Linked DNA regions of Callithrix jacchus. Each later gene encodes a partner of the first gene's protein in a complex. Links are inferred from orthologs where the notes say so. Each region holds a gene or a part of one and is shown on either strand. Other genes may lie near its edges.

The links. The genes of interacting proteins can lie anywhere in the genome.
Region 2: POLE3 (region 1) and POLE4 share a complex: the UniProt entries of both Homo sapiens proteins name them as parts of the DNA polymerase epsilon complex. The link is inferred for Callithrix jacchus from reciprocal best matches to the Homo sapiens genes POLE3 and POLE4.

Annotation. Positions count from the first base shown.
Region 1 is NC_133502.1:161,723,111-161,727,067, forward strand, and holds the start of POLE3 (DNA polymerase epsilon subunit 3), read right to left. Parts: upstream 2,801-3,957; 5' UTR 2,721-2,800; coding exon 2,655-2,720; intron 2,561-2,654; coding exon 2,475-2,560; intron 2,157-2,474; coding exon 2,038-2,156; intron 1,532-2,037; coding exon 1,359-1,531; 3' UTR 1-1,358. UniProt on the Homo sapiens protein: Accessory component of the DNA polymerase epsilon complex. Participates in DNA repair and in chromosomal DNA replication.
Region 2 is NC_133515.1:38,228,758-38,232,862, forward strand, and holds the start of POLE4 (DNA polymerase epsilon subunit 4), read right to left. Parts: upstream 2,801-4,105; 5' UTR 2,764-2,800; coding exon 2,536-2,763; exon of another isoform or gene 2,333-2,535; intron 2,086-2,332; coding exon 2,001-2,085; coding exon of another isoform or gene 1,988-2,000; intron 1,395-1,987; coding exon of another isoform or gene 1,325-1,394; coding exon 1,283-1,324; intron 1-1,282. UniProt on the Homo sapiens protein: Accessory component of the DNA polymerase epsilon complex. Participates in DNA repair and in chromosomal DNA replication.

The DNA.
Region 1 (3,957 bases):
TGGAAGCAGTTAAAGAGGACGGTTTAGGAGGAGTTAGATTCCTGAGCACCATCAGATTTCCCTTAAGGTTCAGAGGGGCTTCACAATCACAAAGTAATTTTTAGAAGACATGAGACAAAATTAGCCGGGCTTGGTGGCACACATCTGTAGTCCCAGATACTCAGGAGGCTCAGCGGGGAGGATCACTTGAGCCCAGGAGTTCAAGGATGCAGTGAGCTAAGATCATGCCACTGCACTCCAGCCTGGGCCACAGAGTGAGACCCCATCTCTTAAACAAAACAAAAAAAACCATGAGATTAGAACTAAGTAATCAAGAGATCAGAGGAACTCACACTTTGGAATATGAAGCAGGTAATCAAAGCTCCTAGACTGACAGAAGTGAGAAAAGGAGGGAGAGGGGAGCAGAGGAGAGGCAGAAGACAGAAAGGAAACAAGAGGCACAGAGGAAGAAAGCTGTGACAAGAGGAAATAGTTTAGAACTCATCATGAATTGAAGAATGAAAAGCCACAGTCACAAGTCTGGGAGATGAACTACAAGAAGAGGAAGCCTGGGGTTTTATACCTTCCAGGAGGTGATGACAAATCCTAAAGCTGTACAGTAGCCGATAGAAGGTACATCTAACACTACGCCATCTGTTTTTGTAAAAGTAAGACACTGGCACCTGGGCTTGACTAATCCCATTCTATACTGCAAATTTACAAACATTTGTGACCAGATTACCACCACCCAGCAGGTCAAACATATACAGGCAATACAGAAAGGTTCCGAACCAAGTGGGTCTATGAAAAACAAACTTCAGTTAATGCTTCAGTTAAGTGAAGAGACAGAACAGATTTTGTTATTCTTCCACAGCATTCTAGTGGTTTCCTAAAGCTTACAAATTCTGACCAGTCTTAGTAAGCTACTATTGTCAAAGACTGTGCAATCAAACAGAGGCTGACCCTAAGCAAAGCCCCAATTTTTCCTGAGCCTTGGCTGCCTCTGTGATCTGAAACGCAGCAGGCAGCATGGAAGTTATTACTTACGTGGGGCAACGAGGAAGACTGTGGATCAAAAACCACCTAACCATACATATAAGTAACCAAAAGTGATCAAACTGTCATTTAGCTGTTCAGAATCCCTCTTGTCAAAAAGTCATAACCTTCAGATTGATAAAGCAAAACAGGGTTCTGCTACTCAGATGCTCTGAGTTTGGGAAGTGCTGGTTTTGATGGTATTTCTAGCCAGTTTTTATTCTGATCTTTTCAGGCACTTCTGCCTGAGACTGCTCTGCCCCACATGGAAAAGCCTCATAGAAACATGTAGCACATCGCATCTCAAGTGGTACCTTCCAAGGTGCCACAGTCTCCCACCCTATTCAGTTGTCTACTTCCTCCTCTTCATTCTGTTCTTCTTCTTCCAGCCTTTCTTCGTCTTCATCATTGTCCTCATCCCGGCTCTTGTCTTGATCTTCAGAGTCTGTTTTTTTGTCTTTGTCTTTCTTCTTTTGCTCTGAGGCCTCCTTCTTGCCTTTCTGCTCCCGCCTATATGCTGTAAGGAGGAAAGGGGTTAGGAGACAGAGAGCTGAGTGAGTCCGACAGACTGCAGCAACTAACTGCATCGTACAATTGGAAAAACAGAGGCAGATGGGCCCAGTGGCTCATGCCTGTAATCCCAGCACTTTGGGAGGCTAAGGTGGGTAGATCACCTGATGTCAGGAGTTCAAGACCAGCTTGGCCAACATGGTGAAACCCTGTCTCTACAAAATTACAAAAATTAGCCGGGCATGGTGGTGTGCACCTATAGTCCCAGCTACTCGGGAAGCTGAGGTAAGAGAATTGCTTGAACTCAGGAGGAGGAGACTGGAGTGAGCCACTGCACTCCAGCTTGGGCAATAGGGCAAGACTCTATGGTGCCCACTTAACTGGGTTGAGTCACGTCAAGTACTGGCTTACTGGACTTAAAGGGACCCACGCTCAGAAAGGCTCAGGGCCGGATGAACAGGTCACACAGAATGACCATCTTCTGTGTGGTTCAGAACACAGGAGGCTTGTTACCTTCTAGGGCTTCTTTTAATGGGGTAACGAACCGCTGGAACTCCATCTCTTCCATGGCTGACAGCACATCGGTGGCATTCAGCGTCTTGCGCTTTCCTTTCATTGCAAAGTTGTTCGCACTGGGAGAAGAGAAAGGCTGTCAGACTCCCTCTTGAGCGTAAGGGGTGGGTGGGAAAAGGAGCACCCAGAGGTGGGACGGGAAAGCCTTCTCACATGCATGGATTTTGGTGTGAGAGGATTAAGTTCTTCCCTTCTCCGTATAAAAAAGCTAAAGCAAAGTCATTTTGTTGTTTTTTTGCTTCAGAACTTGTAATAGGCAGAGGACTGTTAACCTCTCCCCACCTAAGGAGGACACAATCGTTGGGGTTTGTGGGCTCCCGGTCAGGAACTCCCAGCCAGGTATCCCCGCACCTCCCTTATGCCTCTGCCCGGCTCACCAGGATGTGGCGTACAGCACGAAGACGCTGGCGGCGCGAGAGATGGCGCTCCGGGCCTCCTTAGAGATGTTAACACCGTCCGGGAGCTGCGAGGAGACCGGGGGTAAGCAAAGCTGCCGGTCCAGGACCTGCTTCCCTCCTGCCCGCTCGTCCGCCCCGCCCCCCCTCCGAACTGCTCACCGCCTCCTTGATGATCCTGGTGATGACAGCGTTGGGCAGGTTTAGGTCTTCTGGCCTTTCCGCCATTGCCGCTGCCGGGGCTGAGCCTCCCCTCGCCTCTGCTTTAGGCAGCTACTGCGTCCGGACTTCCCGCGTCGCTACGGTCTGATCCACCCGAGCTTCCGTCCCGCCCCACGTGTCCCACAGTGTCCCAGAGTGCCCAGCGCGCCATAGCCTCCCTCCTTTCCCAGCCCCGCCTCCGCCTCAAATGCCGGCGCATCCAGACTTTGAAGCCTCAGTGGTTTTGGCCCGTCGAGGCTTCATCTAACACCAGCGCACCCCGAACGTCCATCCCCAGGTCAGTTTCTCTGCTCCTCGCCTTCGCCACGTCGAGAACCTTCGCACCAACTTAATATGGCCCAATGGAGCTTCCGTCCGTTTCCCATGGTGCTCTGCGCCGCGGCTTGGCGACGGCGCGGGCGGGGCGTAGCGCGCCGGAGACAAAGGCGTGGCTGACTCGGCTGGGCGGGTACCCTTAGACCCGGAGGCGGGCTCTGGGCGGCCCGCTAGGTTAACCTACTCTCCACGCCGCAAGGGGCCGCGTTTTCCCCCTTGGTTTCGCAATCCTAAGCGGTTTCGAATCTGCTTTGCTCTTGCAGGACCTCAGCCCCGCGTGGTCAGATTCTCCGAATATTTTTTTCTTTTCTGGAATGAAACGGGTAGTCTTTTTCCACCTCTACCGAAGTTGATGTTGGTTTCTAATCTTTTCGCCCTTCACACCTGCGTAACAATGGTACTAAGAATGAGTGTTATTTAGGTGTTTTTGGTTGTTGTTTTTAACGCGAACTATTGAGGCAGCCCAGGGATAATGCTTGCTATATAAAGATGCGCCTGATTAGGCCCGGGGTTTAATTCGGGCTGGGTAGGTAACAAAAGGGCGAGAAGCAGCTTTTTCGTTGTAAGAAGAATGCAACATCACTTTCGCTTTCAAAAACAATGTTAAAATTGTATTTATTTTTCAGTTAAATTGTTCATCATACATTTTTTCCAGTTAAAACCATTCTCATGGTTTGCAATGGCGTTTTGTTTTTAAGTCATATTCATATTAAGTACGTAGAAATTCTCAATTCCACTGATTTTTTTTTTGTTTTTTTTGACAGGATCTCACTCTGACCCTGGCTGGAGCGGCACGGTCTGGGCTCACTGCAGCCTAGACCTTCCGGGCGCAGGTGGTCCTCCCACCTCAGCCCCCAGGTAGCTGGGGCTACAAGTGCGTTCCATCACACACAGCTGATTTTTTTGTATTTTTCATAGACAGAGGGTT
Region 2 (4,105 bases), on another chromosome or scaffold:
TGTTGCTTAACAACAAGGATACATTCTGAGAAAGATGCATCACATCTTTAGGCGATCCCACCACTGTGTGAACACCATAGAATATACCTACACAAACCTAAACAGTATAGCCTATTACACACCTACACTACTGGGTGTACCTATTGCTCTCAGGCTACAAACTTGAACAGCATGTTACAATACTGAATACTGTAGGCAACTGTAACATGATGGTAAGTGTATTTATCTAAACATAGAAAAGATAACGTATTTAATTAGGATGTTGTGACTCACTGGGCAACAGGAATTTTTCAGCTTCATTATAACCTGATGGGGCCACCCTCATGTGCACAGTCCATAGCTGACCAAAAAGTTACTATGCAACACTTGACTATATACGTGTAGTGAAGAGTAAGCTGATCTAAGAATTAAGTAGCAGAAATAGCTCTGAGGCAAGGTAGCTCAAATGAGATATTTCAAATATTTGCTATTTTAATGACAAAACTGGCCAGGCACGGTAGCTCACGCCTGTAATCCCAGCACTTTGCGGCGGGGGGGGGGGGGAATGGGGAGGGGATCACAAGGTCAGGAGTTCAAGACCAGCCTGGCCAAGATGGTGAAACCCTGTCTCTACTAAAAATACAAAAATTAGCAGGGCATGGTGGCAGGTGCCTGTAATCCCAGCTACTTAGGAGGCTGAGGCAGAGAATTGCTTGAACCTGGAGGACGGAGGTTGTAGTGAGCCAAGATTGTGCCACTGCACTCCAGCCTGAGTGACAGAGCAAGACTCTGTCTCAAAAAAAAAAAAAAGACAAAATTTAGTTAGTACACAAGTTAATCCATGATTCCTAAAAAGAAATAAATACAGACAAGTACAAGTCTTACTGCAGCAAAATAATCACTTCACACAGATTGTTGAAGAAAAAGGAACAGGCAGTGACACTTCAAATGTTGACAATTGTTTCTGATCTCTAACACGATAAGAGGGGCAAGCTTGATAGCTAGGGATGGCGACCAAGGTAGGAATCAAATTTTTGAATTCATTTAACTTCACTGGGATCTTAATATTCCCTCCTATTTCTTTATGGTTAGCAATTTTCAGGTAGAAGTTTTAATTCCCCAAGGGAGAAAAACCGAACCTCATTAAGTTTAGCAACTTACTTTTTTCTATCCTAATAGCAAGTATGGAGAAAGAATTATCCCTACAAAAACAAGAACCAGGCATCCGTTTTATAAGGTTTTCAATTTCACATCAACATGCAAAAGACAGGTAGAAATGACTGCCCACTGAGAGAGAACTCACCTTCCAAAAAAGCAAATTCATCCACAGCTTCTATTGCATTATCTGAAACATAACGTAAAGGAACACCTGACTAATTCCAGCCATGCTGACGTCAGTCCCAAAACAGCACAATCTGCAGTGAAGGGCATAAGTCTTTGGGCAAATGAGCACATTTATAAGATACGTCCCTTGATGCCTTGATATCCATATCTACACTACCAGCAACTCTTATATATATTAGCTGTCTCTCTAGAAGATTAAGAAAAGCATAGGCAAATCCATTCAATGCAGGGGGCTGGGAGGTTCCTAAATTAACCCTATATTATTTATTCACTTTGCTCTGAAAGTCATCAGAGAAGAATGTGGCAATACACGCAGGGAGCCTGAGAATACGGTCTATAAAATCTTACACAGGTCAGAGTTACCAGCCAGACAAGAGTCAGAAATCAAATCCCCAGTTGCAAGTGAAAAATAAATATCTTTTTCAGGTACAATTTGGCGGAAAGTATGAAGGGATCCAGTCAGCTTTGGCAACCCCAGACGCCTTCACACTCTGTCCCACCACCCCAAGCAGACAGACTCTATAGGCAGGGTTTCCTGGCATTGTGGCCAACAGAAACCATCATGGGGAGAGACGCTGAGACGCCTCTCAGATCAGAGTGATGTCTTCTCAATCTGTGCAAGGGGAAACCAGCCCAGCTCTCCCTTGTCTGTCCCCAGACACACAGTGTCACTCTACCCAAGTCTCTCCTCTGAAGGGTTTTCCTTTTTCCCTGCTGAGCGCAGCAGTAGGCATCTTTTGCAATGGTCTCCACAAATAGCTCCTGTATAGCAAAAAAGCAGAGTTTTAGTAATGGGTTCTAGCACACTGAGGAGGTGAGGGCTCCAGTTTGTGAGTTGGGGCAGAAAGGGAGAAGAATGGCTCAGGGGCAAGAAAATGTTCTGGAAGTTAAGATTGTCCAGGACTTAAAGGTGGATTCCACTACCCTCTTCCCAGTATTCTCCCTCATTCACTATAGACTCCTACAAGTTCTGTATGAGACCCTGGAGATACAAATTAAAGTCACTCACTATCCGGGTCCTCAACATGAGGGAGGAGTGTTAACAAAACATACAACTCGCTTAGGTTCCCGACTTCTTCCCTCCGCCTTCCGGGTCCACGCCCACATCTCAAAACCTTGCCCACGCCGCCCTAAGCCCCGCCCCCGGAATACCCTGAGGCCCCGCCCGCGCTCCCCTCCCCCACCCCGCGTGCCCTCCCGCTGCAGCCGCACCGCTGCTCGTGCCAGGATGAAGATGGCTTCCTGTCCCGCTAGCGTCACGTCAGGGTCCGCCTTCACCAAGGCCTTTACTCGCGCCAGAGGCAGCCTCGAGAGACGTGCCCCAGGCGCCGTCGTTGGGGCTGGGGGCTGCGAGGCCGCTGCCTCCCCAGCGGGTCCGTCCTCCTCTCGGGGAGTCCCGCTTCCTGAAGCCGCCGCCGCCGCCGCCGCCGCCGCCGCCATCCCGGCCCTGAGCGTACTGCGCGCGGCCGCCGACTGCGCGCGCGCATGCGGCGCAGGCCCTTTCCCGCGCGGGCTGGAGGCCACACCCTGTGTTGGCGCGCGGCTCCTCCCCTATGCGCAGGGCCCTCCCGGGAATCCCGGTGGGCGGGGACCGGGCTCTAGCTCTTCCCGCGCGCCTGGCCACCCCTGGGCTGCTGTGGACTTTGTTGACGCTACCGGCCACCCTCTCGTCCCATTGGGCCTGAGGAGCCCAGGCACTGGCCTTGGTGCCTGTGCGGGGCTGGTAAGGGGAGAAGTCTAGACCGGGCTCTCCAGAGAGCCTCCGTCAACTCAAGAGTGTTCATCCTCGTGGGCACGTGTCCGAGGGGGGCCCGGACATTCCCTGGAGGGCCCAGCATTGGGGAAGAGGGTACCAAGAAGGCAGCAAAATCTGGACCAAATTAAAGGATAACCAGTTATAGATGCTCTTGAAGGAGGTGTAACACGTTTGTCAGGCAGAAATGAAGAAATTCAGCCCAGGCAGAGGAAACAAGAAAAAGATGTGGAGGCTGGAAGAGATGTAGTTGTGATGAGGCATCCACGTTTGTTCAAAAAGTGGTTGCATCACAGCTTTGGGTCTCAAATTTGACCTCAAGATCCCTTTACGGTCTTAAAGATTAAAGAGCCTAAGGAGCTTTTTTCTGTGGGTTATATCAATACTTACTATATTGGAATTAAAACAAAGTTTTAAAATACTGATTTAAAAATCACTAATTTATTACAAGCTAACATAGCACTTTTATGACAAGTGACTAAAAAATAAATCTGGTAAGAAAAGTCTAATGTCAGATTTCATGTGAGAACTGGACTCTCTAGCTACTTCTGTGGTTAACGTTAGCTCTTCTCAGGTAACTCTGAAAAACTGTACTGCATCTCCTTAAGAGAATGAGAATGAAAAAAGACAACCTCTTGGTAGTATTAAGAAAATAATTTTGACTTCATGGATTCCTAAAAAGGGTCTGTAGAAATTTCCCACCCTCATGAATCCCCACACTGCACTTTGAGGTCTGATAGCATAGAGGAACAGTTAATATTTACAATAGGTTTAATCTAAGTCAATCAATCATAATAATAGTGAACACTTTTGAGCATTTACTATGTGCATGATTCAAAGTGTTTTATGTTTATGTAAATCACACTTCTGTAATTTTCATAATACCCTATTGAGGTATATATCGTAACCTTACTTTACAAAATAACCTTAACCTTGTTTTTCAAACATTTGAAACAAGGCACAGAGTGGTTACTGAGTCACACACTCGACAATGTGAAGCCAAGATGAAGCTGAATTAAATGACATCTG